3 linked regions of the Sus scrofa genome follow. The protein of the gene in region 1 purifies or fractionates together with the protein of each later gene. This does not show direct contact. Links are inferred from orthologs where the notes say so. Each region holds a gene or a part of one and is shown in the gene's direction. Other genes may lie near its edges.

Evidence for each region. The genes of interacting proteins can lie anywhere in the genome.
Region 2: the proteins of AP2S1 (region 1) and BMP2K purify together in Homo sapiens (affinity purification with mass spectrometry; 4 studies listed by BioGRID and IntAct, counting the BioPlex papers as one, with this or other methods). This does not show direct contact. The link is inferred for Sus scrofa from reciprocal best matches to the Homo sapiens genes AP2S1 and BMP2K.
Region 3: the proteins of AP2S1 (region 1) and AAK1 purify together in Homo sapiens (affinity purification with mass spectrometry; 4 studies listed by BioGRID and IntAct, counting the BioPlex papers as one, with this or other methods). This does not show direct contact. The link is inferred for Sus scrofa from reciprocal best matches to the Homo sapiens genes AP2S1 and AAK1.

Annotation. Positions count from the first base shown.
Region 1 is NC_010448.4:52,698,406-52,706,694, reverse strand, and holds the start of AP2S1 (AP-2 complex subunit sigma), read left to right. Parts: upstream 1-3,496; 5' UTR 3,497-3,650; coding exon 3,651-3,653; intron 3,654-6,440; coding exon 6,441-6,590; intron 6,591-8,289. UniProt on the Homo sapiens protein: Component of the adaptor protein complex 2 (AP-2). Adaptor protein complexes function in protein transport via transport vesicles in different membrane traffic pathways.
Region 2 is NC_010450.4:138,700,409-138,708,024, reverse strand, and holds part of BMP2K (BMP-2-inducible protein kinase), read left to right. Parts: intron 1-939; coding exon 940-1,136; intron 1,137-2,138; coding exon 2,139-2,237; intron 2,238-3,377; coding exon 3,378-3,562; intron 3,563-7,616. UniProt on the Homo sapiens protein: May be involved in osteoblast differentiation.
Region 3 is NC_010445.4:72,924,919-72,932,534, forward strand, and holds part of AAK1 (AP2-associated protein kinase 1), read left to right. Parts: intron 1-1,253; coding exon 1,254-1,486; intron 1,487-2,704; coding exon 2,705-2,880; intron 2,881-4,932; coding exon 4,933-5,037; intron 5,038-7,616.

The DNA of each region.
Region 1 (8,289 bases):
GAGCGAAATTGCTGGTCACATGGGATGCACATGTACTCCTTCCCCAGCCAGGTTCCCAAAGTGGATGTACCTATTCACATCCCTGGAGACATCCCCAAAGCCATGTATAAGAATTTCAGGAGTTCCTATCGTGGCTCAGTGGTTAATGAATTTGACTAGGAACCATGACGTTGTGGGTTCGACCTCTGGCCTCGCTCAGTGGGTTAAGGATCCTGCGTTGCTGTGGCTGTGGTAGGCTGGCGGCTACAGCTCTGATTAGACCCATATGCCGTGGGTGCGGCTCTGGAAAAGAAAAAGAAAGAAAGATAGAAGAAAAAAAAAAGCCTTCCCATCGTGGCTCAGCAGTTAATGAACCCAACCAACATCCATGAGGATGTGGGTTCAGTCCCTGGCCTTGCTCAGTGGGTTAAAGGATCCGGCAGGAGTTCCCATTGTGGCGCAGTGGTTAATGAATCCCACTAGGAACCATGAGGTGGCGGGTTCAATCCCTGCCCTTGTTCAGTGGGTTAACGATCCGGCGTTGCTGTGAGCTGTGGTGTAGGTTGCAGACACGGCTTGGATCCCGCGTTGCTGTGGCTCTGGCGTAGGCCGGTGGCTACAGCTCCGATTGGACCCCTAGCCTGGGAACCTCCATATGCTAAGGGAGTGGCCCAAGAAATGGCAAAAAGACAAAAAAAAAAAAAAAAAAAAAAAAGATCCGGCAATGCTGTGGGCTGTGGTTTAGGTCACAGACTCGGCTTGGATCTGGCATTGCTGTGGCTGTGGTGTAGGCTGACAGCTACAGCTCTGATTCGACCCCTAGCCTGGGAATCTCCATGTGCCACAGGTGCGGCCCTAAAAGAGACAAAAAGACAAAAAAAAAAAAAAAAAGAATTTCAGCTGCTCCACGTTTTCCCAAATACACTTGATATTGTCCATCTCTCTCGTTTTTTCGTTTTTTTTTTTTTTTCCCACCACTGCATGCAGCAGCTTTGATGTGGGATTTCACTTCCCAGACCAGGAACTGAACCAGGCCACTGCAGCAGTGAAAGTGCCGAATTCTAACTGCTAGACCACCAGGGAACTCCCTGTCCATCTTTTTTTAATTGGAAGTGCTGGGACTGGTCTTTTCTGTCTCAAGTTGTGGAATAACACCTCAGACTCCAAACCATCTGGGCCATGAGACTCCTTTTTCTATTTAGGGCTGCACCTGTGATATCTGGAAGTTCCAGGGCTAGAGATTGAATCAGAGCTGCAGCTGCCGACCTATACCACAGCCACAGCAACATGGGATCCAAGCTGCATCTGCGACCTACACCAGCTCAAGGCAACACTGGATCCTTTAACCCACTGAGGGAGGCCAGGGATCAAACCCGCATCTTCATGGATACTAGTCAGGTTCTTAACCCACTGAGCCACAGTGGGAACTCCCAAGCCATGTGACTCTTAAGAGCAGAGACAAAGTCTATTTTCCTGCTGGGACACTCAGTCTAACTCTGTCCCCAACTCTTCAGCTGGGCCAGGTGTCTCTGCTATAAGCAGTTGTGGTAGCCAGGCCTCCGAGAGGGACCGCTGCTGTTCTCACCTGGTGTTCAAGTCCCCTCCCACCTTGGACAGGGCAGTTCTGTGTACTGATAAGATATTGTGGAAATGACAGGGTGTGACTTTGGCCAGGTCATAAAAGACATTGCAGGCAGCTTCTGCCCTGCCCTTTCATGGGTCATTCACTCTGGGGGAAAATAGCTGCCGCATGAGGACACTCTGTGTCCTTGGGGAGAGGGCCACCTGGTGAGGAACAGAGTCCTGCCAACAGCCAGCATTAATCAACACACCCTACGAGTGAGCCACCTGGGAGTCAGATCCTTCAGCCCCAATTGAGCCTTCAAATGACTGCATTCCCAGCTGACATCTTTCTCTTTTTTTTCTTTCTTTTTCTTTTTTTTTTTTTTGGGAGGGGGGGCTGCACCCAAGGCATGAGGGATCCAACCTGAGCCACAGCAGCAACCAGGTCCTCAATCACTAGGCCACAAGGGAACTCCCCAGCTGATATCCTTTTTTTTTTTTTTTTTTGTATTTTCTAGGGCCGCACCCGCGGCATATGGAGGATCCCAGGCTAGGGGTTGAATCAGAGCTGCAGCTTCTGGCCTACACCACAGCCACAGCAACACCAGATCCGAGCCTCGTCTGCCACCTACACCACAGCTCATGGCAGGATCCTTAATCCACTGAACGAGGCTAGGGATCAAACCTGCGTCCTCATGGATACTAGTTGGGTTTGTTACCTCTGAACCACGACGGAACTCCTAATTTACCTTGCTTTCTTAGAGCAAGTCTCCCCTCAGTATCCATCCCTTTACTGAATGCTTACTATGTGCCACCATGTTCTAGGGGATGTAGATTGTTAACAGGTTCCCTGCCCTCAACGGAGGCAACACACACACAGAGACACACACCCCAAATAAAATCATTAACAGCTGTAAAAAGGCTTTAAAGAAATCTAACTGCTGACCTAGAGAATGTGGGGGGTCGAAGAGGGGAACTTCGTATGTTGGGTTCCCCCATATAGGACTGCGGAGGTGATGTTTAAGCCAAAGGAAGAAAAGAGGTCAGCGATCAAAGAAATGGGGGAAGGCAATTCCCATTGTGGCTCAGTGGTAAGGAACCTGACTAGTATCCATGAGGATGTGGGTTCAGTCCCTGGCCTTTCTCAGTGGGTTAAGGATCTGGAGTGGCTGTGAGCTGTGGTATAGGTTGCAGATGTGACTGAGATCCTATGTTGCTGTGGCTCTGACACAGGCAGCAGCTGCAGCTACTATTCAACCCTTAGCCTGGAAACTTCCACACACGGAGGGTGTGGCCCTAACAAACAAACAAACACATAACACATACTATATGTCCAGCACTGGGCTAAGTACTTTGGAAACTTACGGATGCTTTAAAACAACTCTACTGAGGTGACCCCTTGATCAACCGTCTTTTACAGTTAAAGAAGTTGAGTTAAGAGGTGAAGTTGCTGGCCCAGAGTCACACAGCTAGGAAATAAAGGCACGATTTGCATACAGTTCTGGCTTCCAAATTCATGCGCTTAAGCCACTGTCCCACATAAGTCGCTTAACATATTCTAAACAAAGTACTGGGTGACCATGCTCCCCCAACGTAGTTTCTTATTGATTGATTTTTAATTTATTTGTTTGTTATTAAAATACAATTAATTTACAGTGTTCTGCTAAAACAGCTATTCCCAGTACGTCCTTCTTGCCTTGTTGGGGGGGCGGTGGGAGGGAGAAGGAAGGCTGTCCGAACTACATTTCCTAGAGTGCAACCCTTGCCTTGCTGGCTGTCCAGCATTTCGGGAATTGTAGTCCTGCCAGGAGACATTCACCCACGGCTCCCAGAATGCATTTGGAGACCGAACCTTGCGCGAGGAAAAGGATAGTCGCGTAGCATGCTGGGACGCGGGACAGGCCCATTTCTCTGGCGTGCCGCTCAGACGAACGACCCCATTTCTTCGGACTACAATTCCCAGCCGGCTGTGCGCGAGAGAGGGCGGGCGAGTTCTTCTGCCGGAAGTCCGCTCTAGCCCCGGGTGCCCCAACAGCCGCCAAAGCCCGAGCCTCCCAGAAGCCGTGGGACCGGGGCCTCCCAGAAGCTGGGGTCGGACGGGGGTCGCCATGGTAACGGGGGCGCGCCCATACTGGGGATGGGCAGAGGGTGGGTCCATGTGCAGGTACTCGAGGCGCGGTGGGATACTGACAAGCCCCCCCGGCCGCGGTGCAATGGTCTGGGCCAGGCGGGGGCTCTCGAGATTGGGGCCGACCAAAGGCCGGGGAAGGGGACTGGGCGGCGGTTCTGGACGCCAGAGTGTAACGGGGCTCTCAAGGCTAGGGGGCTTTGGAGACCGGATGACAAGAGGAGGGGTCTGTGCGGGAGGGGACATTGGAGGTGGCTGAAGGGTTTTGAAACTGGCAGGCAACTCACGAAGAAGGATCTCCGAGGTGGGGAGAAGGAATTGGAGGTGGCGAGGGGGCATCCCAAGAAGAGAGCTCTCTGGGAGTGTGACCGGATAGTTGGAGAAGGATGGAAGACCTTCGGCTGGGAGAGACGGGGGTCTCTAGAGGCAGGAAGCTGACACTGCAGACGGAGAGGGGGTGTTGGAACTGGGCGGGATACTGCTGATGAAGGAGACAGAATTTCAAGAGGAAGAGACTGGACACTGGAAACGGGAAGTAGGCAACTGTAGGGAATGGGGCTTTAGAGTTAGGGAAAGCGTGCTAGAAAAGGGAGAAGGCTTGGCGTAGGGAGTGGATACTAGAGATGTGTGGGGAGCAGTGGAAGAGGTCACGGAGGGTAGGTAATAGGCACAGGAGTGCGAGAGATGGGGATGAGGCTTTGGGGGCAAGGACAAGCCACTGGATTTGGTACCCCTCCCCAGAGATGGGGAGACCTGACAGAGGGCATTGAAACCGAGAAAGAGGAAGTCGAAAGGGGACAGCTCTAGGGTAAGGGCTTGGAGACAGTAGGTTGGGGGACATAGAGCGGGGACATCCGAGGGTTGAGGGTGCAGGAGGGAAAGGGCTTCTGAGGGTGGATTCCCTGAAGTGGGGAGACTCTAATTGGGAGGAGAAACAGGAAGAGGTGCATGAGGGAACTGGGGGGGGGGTCAGAGGCAGAGCTCTCCCTCAGCTTTTCAGGCTTGCTTTTATCTCTGCCCTCAGTGTGCCCCATATTTCTCTGGCTCTGCCCCAGGCAGTGGCTGCCTGGTGTGGGTACCCCCACCTCCACCCCGTGCCCTCTCCCTGTCTCCCAGGACCCCTGCCTTGCTAGGAAGTGGTTTTCCCTGGCTCAGCAGACAGTGTTCTTGAAAGGAGACCATAATATCCTGTTCCCATCCAGCTTGATTGGTTGGGGAAGGAGGAATGGTGTGTGGAGAATGAGGCTTAGGGAAGAGAATGGACTCTATGAGAGGGTGGAGGCTGCCACACACACGTCAGGGGAAGTGGGTTCAAAGCAAAGCCCTTGGATTCCCAGCTCTGCTTTCTGGCTGTGAGACGTCCTTTCTCTGAGCCTCAGTTTCTTCATCTATCAAATGGGCACAAGAGTGCCCATCTCAAACAGAACGGGGCCCAAAGGCAGGCTTCCTAGCAGGATGAAACTTGGGCCATGGTCTTCTCAAAGTCAAATGATAATCAATTATAATATTACTAAGAACTAATATTGGGGAGTTCCCTTGTGGCACAGTGGGTTAAGGATCTGGTGTGATTACTGCAGCGGCTTGGGTTGCCTCCATGGCGAGGGTTCAAGTCCTTCGTTCAGGAGCTTCCACAGGCTGTGGTCTTGGCCAAAAAACCAACAACCTAATATTTGTATATCACTTCATGTGCACTCATCACGGTACTATAAGTCTTTTTTTTTGTTGTTGTTGTTGTTGTTGTTGTTGCTATTTCTTGGGCCGCTCCCACGGCATATGGAGGTTCCCAGGCTAGGGGTCCAATCGGAGCTGTAGCTGCCGGTCTACACCAGAGCCACAGCAACGTGGGATCCGAGCCGCGTCTGCAACCTACACCACAGCTCACGGCAACGCCGGATCGTTAACCCACTGAGCAAGGGCAGGGACCGAACCCGCAACCTCATGGTTCCTAGTCGGATTCGTTAACCACTGCGCCACCACGGGAACTCCTAAGTCTTATATTTATTAACTCGTGCAACAGTCTTATGAGGGATGTATTCTCATTATGTCCATTATACAGATGGGGAAATCGAGGTCCAGAGAGGTTCAGTGATTTGCCCACAGACACACAGCCAGCAGTGCCAGGATTCATGCACAGTCTCCAGCCTGAGTTCTTAGCCACTTGATCAAATGCCTCTCTGTCATAATAGCTAATTTTCTCGAGAGCTCCGTAAGCAGTAAGCGTTATACTAAACACTTTTGTCATGAACTTGTTCAGTGTTCATAGTCACCTGAGGAGAGTTGAGCTGACGCTTCAGAATCACAAAAGCACATTTCCTAGCCATCACTGATGATAATTGTAGCTGACACCGAGCATGCCTGCTAGCATCGGCCATTGGATTAAATTGATAAACCTATTTAACCTTCAAAACACCCTGACAAGATGGACCTTCTAAGGAAACTTGTTCCGCCAGTGGGGAAACTGAGGCTTAGAGGGGCAGATCTTTTGTCCCGGGTCCTGGGAACAAGAACTGGCAGAGCCTGGCACTCAGCGCAGCGCACGTCCGCCAGTGGAAGAGAAATCCCTCCACGGGGGTGGGGGGAGTGGGGGGTGGTGGGAGGGACTTGGGACCAGAGCCTTCGGCCAGGCCAGCCTGGCTGGGCTCTGGGGAGTGGCTGAGATGGGTGGACCTGCTCTCCCCTGTGGGGGCGGGTGGGGCTGTTGGGCTGGGCCGCCTGGCACTGGCCCACCCTCCCCATCTCTCTCCCTTCCTCCTCCTCCCTCTGCCCCCAGATCCGCTTCATCCTCATCCAGAACCGGGCAGGCAAGACGCGCCTGGCCAAGTGGTACATGCAGTTTGATGATGACGAGAAACAGAAGCTGATTGAGGAAGTGCACGCCGTGGTCACTGTCCGAGATGCCAAACACACCAACTTTGTGGAGGTGATAGGACCCTCCCCCCTGCCTCCCACACTCCCCTGCTTCCTTTTGACCCTTCCTGCTCAACCTTGTGGGTTTTTTTTTTTTTTTAGGGCTGCACCCACAGCATATGGAAGTTCCCAGGCTAGGGGTGGAATTGGAGCTAGAGCTGCCAGTCTATGCTACAGCCACAGCAACGCCAGATCCAAGCCACATGTGCAACCTACACCACAGCTCATGGCAACACTGGATTCTGAACCCGCTGAGTGAGGCCAGGGATGGAACCTGTATCCTCATGGATTCTAGGTGGGTTTGTTACTGCTGAGCCACAACAGGAACTTGCAACCTCATGGTTCCTGGTCAGATTCATTTCCTCTGTGCCACGACAAAACTCCTCTGGTGCCTTTTTAAAACTATTAAAATGTGGAGTTCCCGTCATGGCTCAGTAGTAACAAACCTAACTATTCTTTATAAGGATGCGGGTTCGATTCCTGGCCTTGCTCAGTGGGTTAAGGATCCAGTGTTACTGTGAGCTATGGTGTAGGTCACAGACTTGGCTTGGATCTGGCTGTGGCTGCAGCTCAGATTCGACCCATAGCCTGGGAACGTCCATATGCTGCAGGTGTGGCCCTAAAAGGCAAACAAAACAAAACGAAACAAAAATGATGGTCCAATGCCAGTCAAGGATCTTGCATTGCCGTGGTTGCCACGTCTCTTTGGTCTCTTCACTGAGATGTCTCCAGCTTTAATTCCTGCAGTATTAGTCTGTTCAAGAGACCAGGCCGATTGTCCTGTAGACGTCAACAAATATTTATCAAGGGCCTCCTGTGAGTGGAGCACAATTCTAGGCACTGGGGATACAGCAAGGGACGTGGCAGACACCAGTGCCTCCCCTCGGAGAGCTGACAGCTCCCATTCTAGCCAGGGGGAAACTCTTAGTAAAGATGGCGTGTAGCAGATGGTGATGAGTGATGGGGTGGAGGATGGAATTGCCGGGGTGTGTGCAGGGGGAGGTGGAATGCAGGTGTAAATGGTTTGGCCAGGAAGCCTTCATTGAAACGGGGACATTTGAGGGAGGACCTGAAGGAACTGAGGAGGGAAAGGAGATGCTCTCTGAGAGGAACATTCCAAGCCCAGGGAACAGCAAGTGCAAAGGCCCTGAGGCAGCGGGAGTGGGCTGGGGCATTCCTGGAATAGCAGGAGGGCCAGGGTGTCTGAAGTGGAGGAAGCCAGGGAGGACATCGGGAGCAGATCAGATCGAAGATCAAATGGAAGCAGAGGGGGCAGGACTTTGTGGACCACGGCGAGGCCTTGGGCTCTTACCCTGAGTGAGATGGGAGCCACGGGAGGGTTTTGAGCTGCAGAGGGCTGTGGGCTGACTCAGGCTTTAGGGTTCCCTCTCCAGAAGGCAAGAGCAGAAGCAGGGGGAGGTGACTTCTGTGGTCCAGGTGAGGGTTGCAGGTGACGGGCACTGGCTTGGAAGCGGGGTGGGGGTGGCGTGGAGCAGTTTGGTGGCCACGCCAACTGATGGGCCAAGGACTGGATGAGTGTTACAGAAAGCGGAACCACCAGTAGGGGACGATATCGGGCTGTTTCTTGGCTGCGGCCGACTGGGGCAGAGCAGGTTGAGGTGAACATCAGCAACGAGGTGTCCGGGAAGGGATGCGGGAGAAGGGTGGGGACATCAGGGATGCGTGTTCTCCCAGGACATCCTGCTGCGGGT
Region 2 (7,616 bases), on another chromosome or scaffold:
CTTTTTGGTGTTGTGTGTCTCATCCGTTCTCATGTATTTCAAAAGTTTATTCATAGGATTTTCCTGTGGTCAAATTAATTTTTTTTTTTTTTTTTTGGTCTTTTTGCCATTTCTTGGGCCGCTCCTGCGGCATATGGAGGTTCTCAGGCTGGGGGTCGAATCGGAGCTGTAGCCACCGGCCTACGGCAGAGCCACAGCAACGCGGGATCCGAGCCGCATCTGCAACCTACACCACAGCTCAGGGCAACGCCGGATCCTTAACCCACTGAGCAAGGCCAGGGATCGAACCCGCAACCTCATGGTTCCTAGTCGGATTTGTTAACCACTGAGCCACGACGGGAACTCCTGTGGTCAAATTTATAAAGCTTATAAATAAATACCCATTTAGGACAAAGTGTTAATGGATTCGCTATAGTAACATTTCTTGAACATCTGTTATAAAACGTTCTTTGGAGCCCTAACAAATAAATAAGTCTTTACCCCATCCCTTAGGGGCTGTTGTTCCGAAGAAGCCATGTAAACAATTAACATGTGCAAGGCGGAGTAAGATGTTACAAGCTGAGTGGAAGTGTTAGGTGAAGGAAAAAGAGATTTGAGCTGAACTTGAAAGGACAAGAAGATTGGCGATGGGTAGAAAGTGGCATTCCAGACAGAGAATCATGTCATCAAAGACACAGACCCATGCTGGTGTATCATGGGTCGAGAAATGAAGCATGAAAGATGAAATGACTTGTTCGTGAGTTGTAGTTGACAAAATCAACTTTCACGGGTACTTATAACTATAGTAAATAATCCCTTTAGACTATATGTACATGAAAGTTTCTATACCATAAGGATATGAGTGCCTTGGTTAGTGATTATTGAAATGATGTTTTGAAATCCAGCCATTTTATTGAAATCATCAGTGTGTGAATACAAGTTTTTGGAACCTTTTTTCAGGAGCCCTGAGACCTGGAAACAGCCCTGAGAGCTTATTGGGTCAGGGGCCCACTCAGCAGCCTCCGCAGCAGCATAGGGTACTTCAGCAACTACAGCAGGGAGATTGGAGATTGCAGCAACTTCATTTGCAGCATCGTCATCCTCACCAGCAGCAGCAGCAGCAGCAGCAGCTACTTCAGGATGCTTATATGCAGCAGGTAACTCTTTGGTTACTAAGATACATGGATTGTGAGATCTAGGCAGCTCTTGAATATTAGTGAATTCCTTTTTGTATCATAAATTCTACCTTGAACTCCAGACTGAAATAAACATTTTGCTCAGTTTCCTGATTATGAAAGAATATGCATTTTATTTGCATTCTGTGAGATACCCTATTGAAACAGGTTGCCTCACAGCTTCGTGAAGCAAAGAATGTTCATCCTGTCACCTGGCCTCACAGGTGTCCTGCAGCTTATGAGGAATATTACCTTTTTCAGGTTATGCTTTGAGTTCAGATATATAGACCAATAATGTTATTGTTGGAAAGGTGATATTAGACCTTCAGAAGTAATACTGTCGTAGGTTTTTGTTCTTTTTTAAAAATTTCTCTTTTTTAGCCTGTGTTGAGTGTGTGTGTGTGTGTGTGTGTGTGTAAGGGTGGCATTTAGAGTTGGAAGAGACTAGAAATAATGACCTTACATTTGATTTTGTCCTTTGCTGCATCAGAGCCTGCCCATTTCTGGTTTCACTAAAATGTGTTAAATTTAGTGACTCTCGTCCTCATGCCTTCATCATGGCCCGAAGTAGTTTTGAATCAGTTGATACCTGACACTTGTCATGGGTGTGCCTTTCCTCTGGTGCCACTGCAGGGCCGGGAGATAGCGCTGAAGGAGAGCAGGGCATCATTGACCGCGGTGATTCCCGGACACAATTAACTTTGAGGGTCTTCATCAGCTGTGTGGCAGGTTTAGGTTTCTCCCAGACATCCGTAAACTGTGCTGGACATGGTTTTAGTTTATGTTTCATTGATAATTTTGAAACCATTTCCAAAATGCAGATTTAAGTTGTAGTCGCTTATTGACTGTAGGTCTTTCACGTTAGTGCTTGGACGTTTGAATACCCACGTTGTTGTTATGTTACGGTCAATACTTTAAATAAGAAAAGGCCATGGCACAAAAAAGGCATGAGTAGTATCGATGAATTTGTTTTTCTAATTGTAGTACCAGCATGCAGTGCAACAGCAGCAGATACTGCAACAGCAGTTTTTAATGCATTCGGTGTATCAGCCACAAGCGTCTGCATCGCCTTATCCCGCAATGGTAAGTTTTATATAGTTTCTAGCGTTCTCTCTGAGTACACATTCCAGTGTTGGAATTCACAGTATGAATGATATTATTCAGAATTTAATAAAGTCAGCTCAAGCTAGTTCATTAACATGTATTTTATCAAAGCCGGTCACGCATTCTCAAGCCAGTTTAAATTGGACTGAGCAATACAGCACGTGGACTTGGCACGTCGTAACTGGCTGATAGTATGTTTCTCTTCTCTCACGTTATGAGGAAATGATTGATTATCCAGGATCTTTTGTCATATGTCTCCATTTGGCAAACGTCTATTGAGTTAAAAAAAAAAAAAGGAAAGCAACCTAAAGGAAAATCGTATTTACTTCAGAAAATAGTTTGACCTTTTTTACAGTAGCCACTGTACCAAGTGACTTTAAGCTACTCTATTTTTTTTTCTTAAACTGTTTAAAGGAGGATTTTTGAATCCTGCCAGGTGAGCCTAACATTGCAGGTTTTTGTTCGTTTGTTTTTTGTTTTTGTTTGTTTTTGCTATACCTGTGGCATGCAGAAGTTCCCTGGTCAGGGACTGAACTCGAGCCGCAGCAGTGATAGTGCCATATCCTTAACGTGCTGAGCCACTAGGAAACTCCACAACCTTTTTTTTAAATTAAAAATTTTTTTTTAAATTGAGACATAATTGACAAAATTATATATATGTATAACATAATAATTCAGTGTTTGTGTATATTATAAAATGATCACCACAATAAGTCCAGTTAAACAACTTCCTTTTTTTTCTTGGCTGTACCTGTGGCATGTGGAAGTTTGCAGGTCAGGAACTGAGTCCCAGCCATAGCTGTGACCTACTCCACAGCTACGGCAAGACCAGATCCTTAACCCACTGTGCCACGCATTGAACCCGTGTTGCTGTAAAGATGACACCAGATCCTTAACCCGCTGCTCCACAGAAGGAACTCCTAAACAACTTCTTAAATAGGTTGATTTTGTCTTGCTGTGGTTTTCTAGTAGCAAGCTGCTCCTTCAGATAAAAATTGTTTTTCAGGTTTCTGATTTTGTTGCCAAAGGAAAAGGAAGGAGAATGGTAAACAGATGTGCTGCTGACAGGGCTTCTTTGACCTTGAGCGTTGTTTGGTATGATGACATTTTTTGTTTCAGATGCAGCAGTATCAGCAGGCTTTCCTGCAGCAGCAAATGCTCGCTCAACGTCAGCAGTCTCCACAGCAGGCATCACCAGAGTATCTCACCTCCCCTCAAGAGTTCTCACCAGCCTTGGTGTCCTACACGTCGTCACTCCCAGCTCAGGTTGGAACCGTAATGGACTCCTCTCATTGTGCCAATAGGCAAGTATTTGTGCATTGAGCGCACAGGAAGGGTGTTCACTTGAAGTGGAGCTGCCGAGGGCTCCGGGGTTGCCTTGGAGCCCACCTTCCTGTATAGCGCCCCTTTTCTCTTACTGGTCCCCTCTTCTGGTCTCTGCAGCTCCATCCCTCTTTCCACTTCTGTCACTTAATTCTGCTGTTCGTTATTTGCAGATGAGGCTTAGCAACATCTAGCAGCATTTCAGGCTAAGAAAAGCATTAGCTTATGTGTTTTAAGACATTCTTTGTGATTTCAGTAGAAACAAAACCCTAACAAACTACTTTAGTCATTAAAAAAAAAATTCCCGTAGACAGTTAATTTAACTTTTTCTACTTACATGTTATTACTTCCAGTTAATTTGATGGTATAATACTCAGAGATTGGCTAATTTAGTTTAATTTAAACAAATATAAAAAAGTTTTAGTGAGTCCCTTGGCTCTTTTTTTGTTTGTTTGTTTGTCTTTTTGCCTTCTCTAGGGCCGTTCCCATGGCATATGGAGATTCCCAGGCTAGGTGTCTAATCGGAGCTGTAGCCACCGGCCTATGCCAGAGCCACAGCAACGCGGGATCCAAGCCACGTCTGCAACCTACACCACAGCTCATGGCAACGCTGGATCCTCAACCCACTGAGCAAGGGCAGGGATCGAACCTGCATGGTTCCTAGTCGGACTCATCAACCACTGTGCCACAGCGGGAACTCTGCTTGGCTCTTTTTAAAGATGATATAATACTGCAAGCGTATATGTTAGCATATAGTCTATTTTGGTTATTCGCATACATTAGTTAGAGTTATTTTTCATGGATAGTTCATATTGAAAACATTACAGTAAGTTAAAGAATTGTGATGTAGGTTTTTTCAAGCTAGATTTATTGTGAAGAATGCTTTAGGACTTTGTAATTAAGAATCTATTTATCATTATGAATCCTTGCTGGTATTTTTAGATACGTAGGGGGAAGTAGCTGTTAGAGCTTCAGTGATTAGAACACTAAAGAAATTCTCAGACAGCACTATCTTAGGATATGAAACACAGCAGGGAGAGGGTGTTTACAGGCTTCGGCCAAGTCGAGTGTGCAGAAGAGCACTGTTGATGGCCTAGTGTTCACTGAGTGTGTCAAGAGAGGCTAGAGTGTACAGGTGCTGCAGTAGGCCACCCATCCTGTGTTCGTCTGTGTGACCAAGAAAGGGCTGGGGGATTGAAGGAGAGAGGGAAGGAAGAGGGAAAAGACAGGTTTATTGAGGAGCTTTCCTAGGTCACAAGTGATGTGCGTGGATTAGGACAGGTGTGCCTTTAAGGGAAGCAGGGCAGAAAATCAGAGGCTGGTTTAAAGATCCAAATCAGTGTTCGCCAGACTCTTTATTTGCCTACTCTAGTTAAGATTTTTTTATTTATCCACCTAACACTCTTTTCTTTAAAACAATTTTTTATCACAGTTGATGTACAGTGTTCTGTCAATTTCTGCAAAGTGACCCAGTTGTACATATATACGCATTCTTTTTCTTGCATTATCCTCCATCATGTTCCATCACAAGTGGTTGGACATGGTTCCCTGTGCTCTACAGCAGGATCCCACTCCTTTCTTTAATAGATCAATAGCATTGTTGTAAATAATACTAAGTATTATACATTTTCAACAAAGCCACTAAAATATAATCTGTGAAATACAAGTAGCAATCTGATAAATTTACAAAAAAGACATACCTATAAGTAAGTGTCTTAGGGATACTGATGAGGCTACTGTACTAATTAGATGATTGATTTTTTTTTTTTTTTTTACTTTTGATGTTAACTAGAATAAAAAATGTCAGTTACATCCCATGTATGTAATTGGAAAACACGAAGATATTAAACTCTTTTCTCTGATACAACATATTCACTCACGTATACTTCGTATTCTAAAGGATTACCGGCCTCTGGAAGCACAATTGTGTCTCTGATGAGAATGGAGCCATGACTTGGAAATCCTGTGTGAGATGAGAGAATTCAGTCCAGTGTCCTGTAGCTTATGTATTGTCTAAAATTCTGATTAGTTGTGAAGGAAGTTGAGTAAAGATTTGAGGCACACGTCGGCATGCAAGGTGCTGAGTCCTTTAAGTTATGTGAATTATCATAGCACTGCCTACTTAATCTCATCTTCAGTGATATTGATGAAATCACAGAGGTGATGTGTTAGATAAGTGCATTTTCTAATTTCTGTGTAACTTTAAAATGAAAAAGTCGAGTTATCAGGTGCAGTGGGTTAATGATCTGGCTTGTCTCTGAAGGCATACCAGTTCATTTCCTGGTCCTGCACAGTGGGTTAAGGATCCAGTGTTGTTGAAACTGTGGTGTAGGTCACAGCTCTGGCTCAGATTTGATCCCTGGCCCGTAAACTTCTGTATGCCGCAGGGGCAGCTGGAAAAAAAAAAAAGTTGAGTTATCATCAAAATCATTTTGCATACCACAGTTCAGATGCTATGGGATTGGGTATCTGTGAAAGTGTATAAGACTTGTTACACCCCAGTCTCCTGAACCGATGCGTTGAGGGAGATGGGTGTATATGGAACAGCACAGCGGTGACTGTCGGATGAGTAGAAATGACTATACGCAACCAATAGGAGTTGGGAACACAGAACTTTCCGTGGCAGCACTGCTCCAGCCACACTTGGTGCCTCAGTGCTACTTTACTGATATTACTTCTGGTTTAGGTAAATCCTTACCAAGGATTATATGTTGAGTATCTCGTTCTGTAACATATTAAAAGGTGATCTGTAAGCAAACATCCCTGCTTAGGCCTAAGTCAGTGGGAGGTGAGAACTGGGGTTAAATGTTTGGCTCTAAGAATATAAGGGATATTTGAGCAGACAATAAGAAACTAAGTAGTTCCTTAGACAAGGAAAGGGTAGCTGTCTTGGTTAGCGTGATTATTTCGTATTCTTTCCTGCTGAATCTTCTGCTAAGATTTCTGTCCTTATGCTGTGTCTGTATGTTGCTAAGATGACTATTGGAGAGTATTACCATGTTTTATTCAAATAATAGTTAAATAAGCAAATATCTATGCATATATTATCTCCTTACCATATAAATTACCCTGTTGGAGTTCTCCTGTGGTGAGGTGGGTTAAGGATCCAGCATTGTCCAACCCAAGCTGCTGCAGTGGTGCAGGTTTGATCCCTGGCCTGGGAACTTCCACATGCTGTGAACATGGTCAAAAAAGTAAATCAGTAAATATATTGCCCTATTGTATTAGTTATTTGTTGCTGCATAGTAAATTACCTCAAAATCTAGTGGTTTAAAATGACGATAAACATGTATTATCTCACACACTTTCTTTGGATCAGGAATTTGGGACTGGCTTAGCTGTGGGGTTATGACCAGGGACGGGTCTCTCATGAGGTTGTAGTTAGATGTTGGCTGGGGCTGTAGTCCATTGATGGCTTGGCTGGTGCTGATGGATCTGTTTATAAGACTACTCACATGGCTTTGGGCAGGTAGCCTCCATTTTCTGTCATGTGGTCTCTACAAGAGCCTCCTTGGTTATTCTCGTTGGCAAAGCCAAAGACCATTTCGAATGAGGAATCATTTATTCCAGTTTCTCCCAGAACATGTGGTCCAAGGGAGAGGGCAAGAGGGCGCCTGCGAAGCCTTTTATGATCTAGTCTCCGAAGTCAAATGTTGGCACTTCTACCACCTTTCGTTTGTTAGAATTGAGTCACTAGATCTAGCCCACATTCAAGGGCAGGGCAATTCAGTTCCACCTGTTAGAGGAGTGTCAGAGAACTTGTAGACATATATTTTAACACATGTTTAAGGGGTAGGTTAATGACTACCTCCACTGAGTTAGAGTCAACCAAGAAGAATCCATAAACTCATTCCAGGAACAGGAGGAAGCTGATTCAGATAGGGAATCGTAAACTTCTGAAAAGGATCATTGATGGGCAGGAGAGGACTGCTCATTTCTCTTTGCGCTTTAACCTCTCTGAGCTGTGCTTCTAGAGCTAGGGAAGTCCTTGAAGATAGTTCTGGAGGTAGAGATGAGCTCCTGTCATACGCAGGC
Region 3 (7,616 bases), on another chromosome or scaffold:
AATAATCTGTGTGAATATAATTGTGTTTAAATATATGTATTTTGTTCTGTAAAAAAATAAATAAAAATAAAATTTCAAAAAAAAGAAAAAAGAAAAGAAAAGGGGGAGTTCCTGTTTTGGCTCGGCAGAACCGAATCTGACTAGCATCCGTGAGGACACGGGTTCCATCCCTGGCCTCACTCAGTGGGTTAAGGATCTGGCATTGCCGTCAGCTGCGGTATAGGTCGCAGACCCGGCTCGGATTTGGTGTTGCTGTGGCTGTGGCGCAGGCTGGCAGCTATAGCTCTGACTGGACCCCTAGCCTGGGAACCTCCATATGCTGTGGTTGGGGCCCTAAAAAGACAAAAAGAAAAGGGTTAGGTGGCCTTCGTAATATTATTTTTTTCTTGCTATAGCACTTTGTAGATCATGACTTATGCTTAAAAACTCACCATGTGGCCACGAGGATTTTCCATCCAGTTTGTTTTTCTGTGGTGACCATGTGTCCTGCCTTCTGGAAAAGGCCTGCATCTCAAGAGTTCTTATGTTATTAGATCCAAGACTTTTATTTTTCTTCCTTTCTTATTGTACTCTCTACCTGGTCCTTTGGTGCCATTTCCAAAATGAAGTTTGCAACAGGTTAATCCACCTGCTCCAAAGCTGTACATTTCCTTAGGGGTGCCACAGAAATAGAATCTTGTAATACCCATCCTATCAATGAAATAGTGTTAACAAAATCCAAAAAGTACTGCCATTTATTAATCTTAGAGAAATACTGTCTCACTTTTTTCTAACTAGTAGTCTGAGCTCTGTCAGAAAGTAGGGGATCTCTTAGCAGAAATCATTCAGCTCAGCTGTATTTTAGCTAGAGATGTGCCTTCATTTGCTTGTGACTGTGGTAGAAGAATGCCTACCATTCTGAATGAGTTCCTAAAGCAGCAGATGATCCTTTTAGGATACTTTCTAAATCTTTAGAGCTAGAAATAACTTCTGCAGTCTTTGGTCTGGGTTGAGTTGCCTATGGTTACCCTATGTATTATTGCTGATAAAGATTGAAATTTATCTATAAGCACCAGGTAAATAACCATGCTGGTATCAGTCTCCAGGTTGCAGCTCAGATTGTCAAAGTCTAGGTTTTTTTTTTTTTCTTTCTAGGGGTTATTGATAAACTGAGCCAAGTGAATCATATGTGGCATTTTTCGTTATGCTTATCTGCTTATTGTTTTTCCTCTCACCCTCCCCCTTTTTTGGAACACTTTCATCTCTCTTCCTAGCAGATTCAGGCCCCGGTAAGACAACAGCCAAAGGTTCAGACAACGCCACCTCCTGCCATCCAGGGGCAGAAACTCGGATCTCTCACTCCTCCATCCTCGCCCAAGGCCCAGCGTGCTGGGCACAGGCGGATTCTCAGTGACGTGACCCACAGTGCGGTCTTCGGGGTCCCTGCCAGCAAATCAACCCAGCTGCTCCAGGCAGCTGCAGCTGAGGCCAGTCTCAATAAGTCCAAGTATGTACTGATTTTGTGGACAAGGGCTGCCGTGGGCCATTGCCATGTGGGTTTTGCATATATATGTAGACATGTATGTAATAGCGTGTGTCTGTGTTTAATAAGAAACCGAGTTTTCCTATAGTGCATAGATCTGACTGATCTTAAGAAATAATTTCCTACCTGCCTCACTCTTTGCATTCTCTCATCCAGCCCATAACCTACAGAGTGCCTTCTAAATTCTTGATGTGACCAAATCTCTCCATGCTGAAAGCCTTTCATTGGCTTCCCATTGCCTATAGAATAATATCTGAATTCACCCGTTAACAGACTAAGGCCTGATGTGTCACATTCGTGGAACTGCCTCTCTTTTCCTTGTCCACCTAGGAATTCCTTCTTTCTTCATCAGCATCCATGTCAGAGGTTAATTTTTTCTTTGACCCTTCCTCTGGTATCATACACAATTTTATCTGAACCCTTTTTTGAGCATGTATCACACCGTATTATCATTAGTTATTTGTAGGTGTCGCTGGCCTAGCCTGCGGGCTCTTCCAAAACAAGCACTGAGGCCTGATCAGCCTTTGGAAATCCAGTGACAGGCTCCATGCCTGAGATAAAGTAGATGGTAATGAGTGTTGGTTGAGTAAATGCAGTTTCAGACTCTGTTTCCTAAAACCATATACTGAAGTTAAAAATCTTTTAAGTCATTGGCTCAATGCAAAGGGCATCAAGAGAGACTTGAGAAAAAAATTAGGTCGTGATACCTAGGGGCACATGATAGTGGTAACTGTCTTTATTTCTCTTGAACTGTGATGGTATCCACTGATGGTGGTCCTTAATTTTGTGCATGCTGGACCCTGACAGATGTGAGCCAGTGGGAATAGGCCTCAGCCCCAGCCCCTCTAGGGCCCGTTGTTGCGAATGTTACAGCCGTCACTACAGGATGCATGTGCCCAGGAGCAGGTTGCTTTGGGATCCTGAACTGAAAAAAACTGATGAGACCAAAAATCTGAGCAAAAGATGAAAGAAGTAGTGGGAAATAGCAAATCATGAAAAAAGGGAGGCATTTGTTTCACACACTGGAAAGGGTGTCTGTGGAAACTTTTCCACTGCCATGGAAAGCCCTTTGAGAAAAGTACTGAGGAAAATAATGTTTTGGTTCAGAAAATAACTTGATCTTGAAACACAGAGAAAATAGGTTGACCCTTTTCAACCTTTATATGTCTTTTTATTTCGTGGGGGTGGGAACCTACCTAGGTCTGCAACCACCACTCCTTCAGGCTCCCCTCGGGCCTCCCAGCAAAACGTTTATAATCCTTCAGAAGGTTCTACGTGGAACCCCTTTGACGACGACAATTTCTCCAAACTCACAGCTGAAGAACTGCTAAACAAGGACTTTGCCAAGCTGGGGGAAGGTGAGCAACTGGTATCTTTTTGGGATTATTGACCCTTAATACTAGAGGGATACCCATGTAAAGGTAAAGGCTCGGGTCTTTCTTTTCTTTCAGAGACTCGGTTTTGAAGTATGTGCACAAGTCAGTGTGTATTTTTCCTAGAGCACCAGAGTCTTTCCATCCTCGGGAAACCCTGGTCTAAGGGGCAGCAAGGAGAGTGGGAAACCTTAGGGAAGACTTGGTTGCCTAGAGGATGACAGTGTCAAGCACCTTCAGGAATCGGGGGGGTACCTTGTCCTGGGTGGGTTTGTTATCCCAGCAAGTCATAACTGCTTACCCATGAGAGTGCACCCGCGTGTTGACACTGAGTCTTTGTGATCAGAATTCTCTGGTACTACTGGCTGACCATAAATAGAAGGTACCATTTCTGCCCCCCAAACCCACAGTCTGATTTGGAAGGCAGGATACGCTTTCCCGGGCACACACCCTAGGAAAATTCTTCGGTATGACACAGCTCAGAATATGGTAGGAGTTCCCGTCATGGCAGTGGTTAACGAATCTGACTAGGAACCAGGAGGTTGCAGGTTCGATCCCTGGCCTTGCTCAGTGGGTTAAGGATCCGGCGTTGCCGTGAGCTGTGGTGTAGGTTGCAGATGCGGCTTGGCTCCCTTGCTGTGGCCCTGGTGTAGGCCGGCGGCTACAGCTCCGATTAGACCCCTAGCCTGGCAACCTCCATAGGCCGAAGGAGCGGCTCTAGAAATGGCAAAAAGACAAAAAGAAAAAAAAAAAAGAATATGTTACAGTTTTGGTATAGACCAAAGCACAGGGTAAAGGAACATTCAGAACAGAGTGACTGATAGGAACTTTGACCAAACGTTTAGCTTTATTATTTTATAGATGTCTTTTAAAAATCCACATACTTTCTTGCCTTTTTTTTTTTTTTAATCTTCATTGGGCATGGGTTTTAACTTTCTTTGACATCCCTTTCACTTTGTTATGTGTACCAGTTACTGTTCTAGACTATAAACAGAAATACCTTCATGGACCATTGAAAATTAGTACTTTGCACTCAATTAAGTGATGCCCAAGTTTTTCAATTCTTATGCCTTTTTTTTTTTTTTTTTTTTTTTTGGTCTTTTGTCGTTGTTGTTGTTGCTATTTCTTGGGCCACTCCCGCGGCATATGGAGGTTCCCAGGCTAGGGGTTGAATCGGAGCTGTAGCCACCGGCCTACGCCAGAGCCACAGCAACGCAGGATCCAAGCCGTGTCTGCAACCTACACCACAGCTCACGGCAACGCCGGATCCTTAACCCACTGAGCAAGGGCAGGGACCGAACCCGCAACCTCATGGTTCCCAGTCGGATTCGTTAACCACTGCGCCACGACGGGAACTCCCCTTATGCCTATTTTTAATGATTTCCTGTCTCTCTTCTTGTTCTTGGTTTTTACATTAAGCCATTATCACTGTGCCCATCCCTTATAGCATCTCACCACTGCCATCTCTCTTCTCGTTTGCTCTCTTAACTGCATGGACGACAGATCCTCAAACTCATTAGAATTCTGTAGAGATAAAGTGAAGGCTGGAGGCATTCTGCTCTGAATAACATGCTTGAACTCTAGGGCTTTAGACTTCCTTTCTTTCCTCAGCTGTTTCTCAGTTACTGCAGTGATTAGACAAGGACCTTTGACTAGCCAAGGTGTTGCCACAAAGCATAAAAGGAGTCAAGCCTAGGCATTCCCGTTGTGGCTCATTGATAACCCCACTAGTATCCATAAGGATGTGGGTTCAATTCCTGGCCTCGCTCAGTGAGTTAAGGACCCGGCGTTGCCAAGAGCCGTGGTATAGGTCGCAAACGCAGCTAAGATCTGGCATGGCAGTGGCCAGTGGCTACAGCTCCAATTCAACCCCTAGCCTGGGAACTTCCATGTGGCAAAGGTGCAGCCCTAAAAAGACAAAAACGAAAAAAAAGGGGTCACACCTAGATGTCAGTTTGGAGGAGCCCTTCACCTCCAGCATGTGTGTGTATCTTGGGATTCTGCTGGAATGCACTGAGTCGTGTTTTGTTCCTCCAGGCAAACATCCTGAGAAGCTTGGTGGCTCAGCCGAGAGTTTGATTCCAGGCTTTCAACCAACCCAGGGTGATGCTTTTGCTGCTTCCTCATTTGCTGCTGGAACTGGTTAGTATGACTAACACCTGAAACACAAGACTTACTCTTGTCACCCTCACACTGGTGTCCAGTCCACAGATAACCCTAGCATGCAAGAGCTTCAGAGCCTAGTGGTAATATATTTTCCTGTATTCAGAAGATTTTCTATAAAAAGGAATAAAAAACAAGATCTAGAATCACTTTGAATTAGAATAGCAAGATGATCTGGCAGTAATACACAGGATTTCTTCTCTCAAGTCCACAAACATGTTTTTAAGCAAATATTTCCAAATTTCAGGAATATCACTCTCTTGTAGTTGCTTAAGTTCTTTGGAATAACTTGCAGAATTCCAAGAATTAGATGTGGCTCTGTGTTTGAGACTCTACTATACTGTGTTTTGGGGCATGTGAGTGTTTGGGTGTGTGTGCTTATGGGGAGAGGGAGACCATAAAAAAAAAATCCTAGAAGTAATCATAAAAACCAAATTTCCCTTTTATTAATAAATAGTGTACTTACTTAGTAATGTAAAGAAAAGCATAGAGAAGAAAGTTAAAACCTCTTGATCTTACCCCTGAGAAATTAGCACCATGATACCATTTTGGTGTTTGTTAATGGCATTTAACCTTTTTAGGGTCACAGATATCTTTGTGAATCTAAGGAAAGTTACAAATCTTCTCCTTTACAAAAATACATGTGACCACAATTTTGTACACAATTTTAAGCCTCACTGTATGACTCTAATCTGCATCTTTATAGTCATATTTTAAAGCTTAATTTTTTTACTCACAAAATTTGGCATGTTTCCTCCCACGTCACTAAAGAAGCTCCTCAAATATAACTTTTAAAATATCTACATTAAATTCCTCTATATGGAGATAGCCTAATGTATTTAACCAAGTGCTTCTTTTTTTTTTTAAGAGATATTAAATGCTTTTATTTTCCATATTAAAAATCAGTATTTTTAATATTAAAACCACTAATTTTAACAAAAGGTCAAAAAAACCCAGGGTACCAAGTGCTTCTTTTTTAGACATTTATTTGAAGTCAGTGTTTTACTGTTATAAATTCCTCAGCAATGAATGTGAGGTTTTGAGTATGTTTTCTGTGGATATATAGAATTTGATAACCTTCCAAATTGATCTTTTTAATTATATTGATTAATTTCCTGCTTTCTTTAGGTATGTGAGTAGTTTTTCTAACCTCATACATTTATTTCTGATAAGAATTTTAGCTATTATTCCATAATATTTGATATGTAATGATGTTTTATTCTTGCTGTTTTCTAAATGTTTTTAAATTTTAGTTTTGATTTCTTTACCCAAGAGTTACTTACGATATATTTTAATTTCATTGTGGTAATATGGCCTGTGTGGTTTTTACTTTGGGGTATTATGGAGGAGCTTTCTGTTGCCCAGTTTGTTATTCATTTTGCAGACATTCTATGAAAATTAATAGTTTTCCATTGTCACTAAATATTAATCCACAACACAATTTTTTTTTTTTTTTTTTTTTTTTTGCTTTTTAGGGCCACACCTGAGGCATGTGGAAGTTCCCAGGCTAGCGGTCGAATCAGAGCTACAGCCGCCGGCCTGCACCACAGCCACAGCAATGTGAGATCCGAGCCATATCTGCGACCTACGCCACAGCTCACAGCAGCACTGGATCCTTAACCCTCTGAGTGAGGCCAGGGATTGAACCCGCAACCTCATGGTTCCCAGTCGGATTTGTTTCCAATGCACCACAACAAGAACTCCTCATTTACAATTTATTTAAGATAACTTCTATGAGATTATTTGCTAAATCTAAAGATAATGTATATTTAAGGTTTTTGGTGCATATTTCCTAATTGCCCTCTAAGAATGCTATACAAATTTTATTTCGATAAGCAGTGAATGAGAAAAAAAAATCCAACTTATTTGGAGTTCCCTGGTGGCCTAGTGGTTAAGGATTTGGTGTTGTCACTGCTGTGACTCAAGTTCTATCGCTGGTCCAGGAGTTTCTGCAAGCTGCTGGCATGGGGGGAAAAAAAAAAAAAAGAAACAAAAGACAGTGAATGAGAGTAATTTTCCCTCAATTCCCCATCCAGACCAGCTCAGAGGCTATAGGCAGAGGACATTATTTACTGACCGTTTTTATTTCTTTTGGGATTTGTATTGTTCATATCCATTTTTTTAAACATTCTGTGTTTGTTTTGTTCTTATAATACGTAAGAGCTCTTGAAGTTTCGTATATTGTAAACATTTTCCGCAGTTTGTCACTTGTCCTACACAAATATTATCTCTTCTGACCCTCTCAACAATGCTCCGAGATTGCCACGTCATCCTCACATAACATCAGTTATGCTTGAGATGACTGAGCACAGACAAATCTCTTTCCCAGGATTACATAGCTAGTAAGCGGCAGAGCTGGGACACCAACTGTCTGGCTCTAGAACTTCCTCTCTCAGGTTTGTACCTCATAATAAGGCACATTAAAAAACAAAAAGCTATGGCATAGGCAGGGAACTTCCATGTGCCGCACGTGTGGCCCTAAAAAGAAGAAGAAGAAGAAAAGGCTAATTTAGTATTATTTTCCTAGAAAATCATCTGTGGTTTTAAAATGTTTTAAA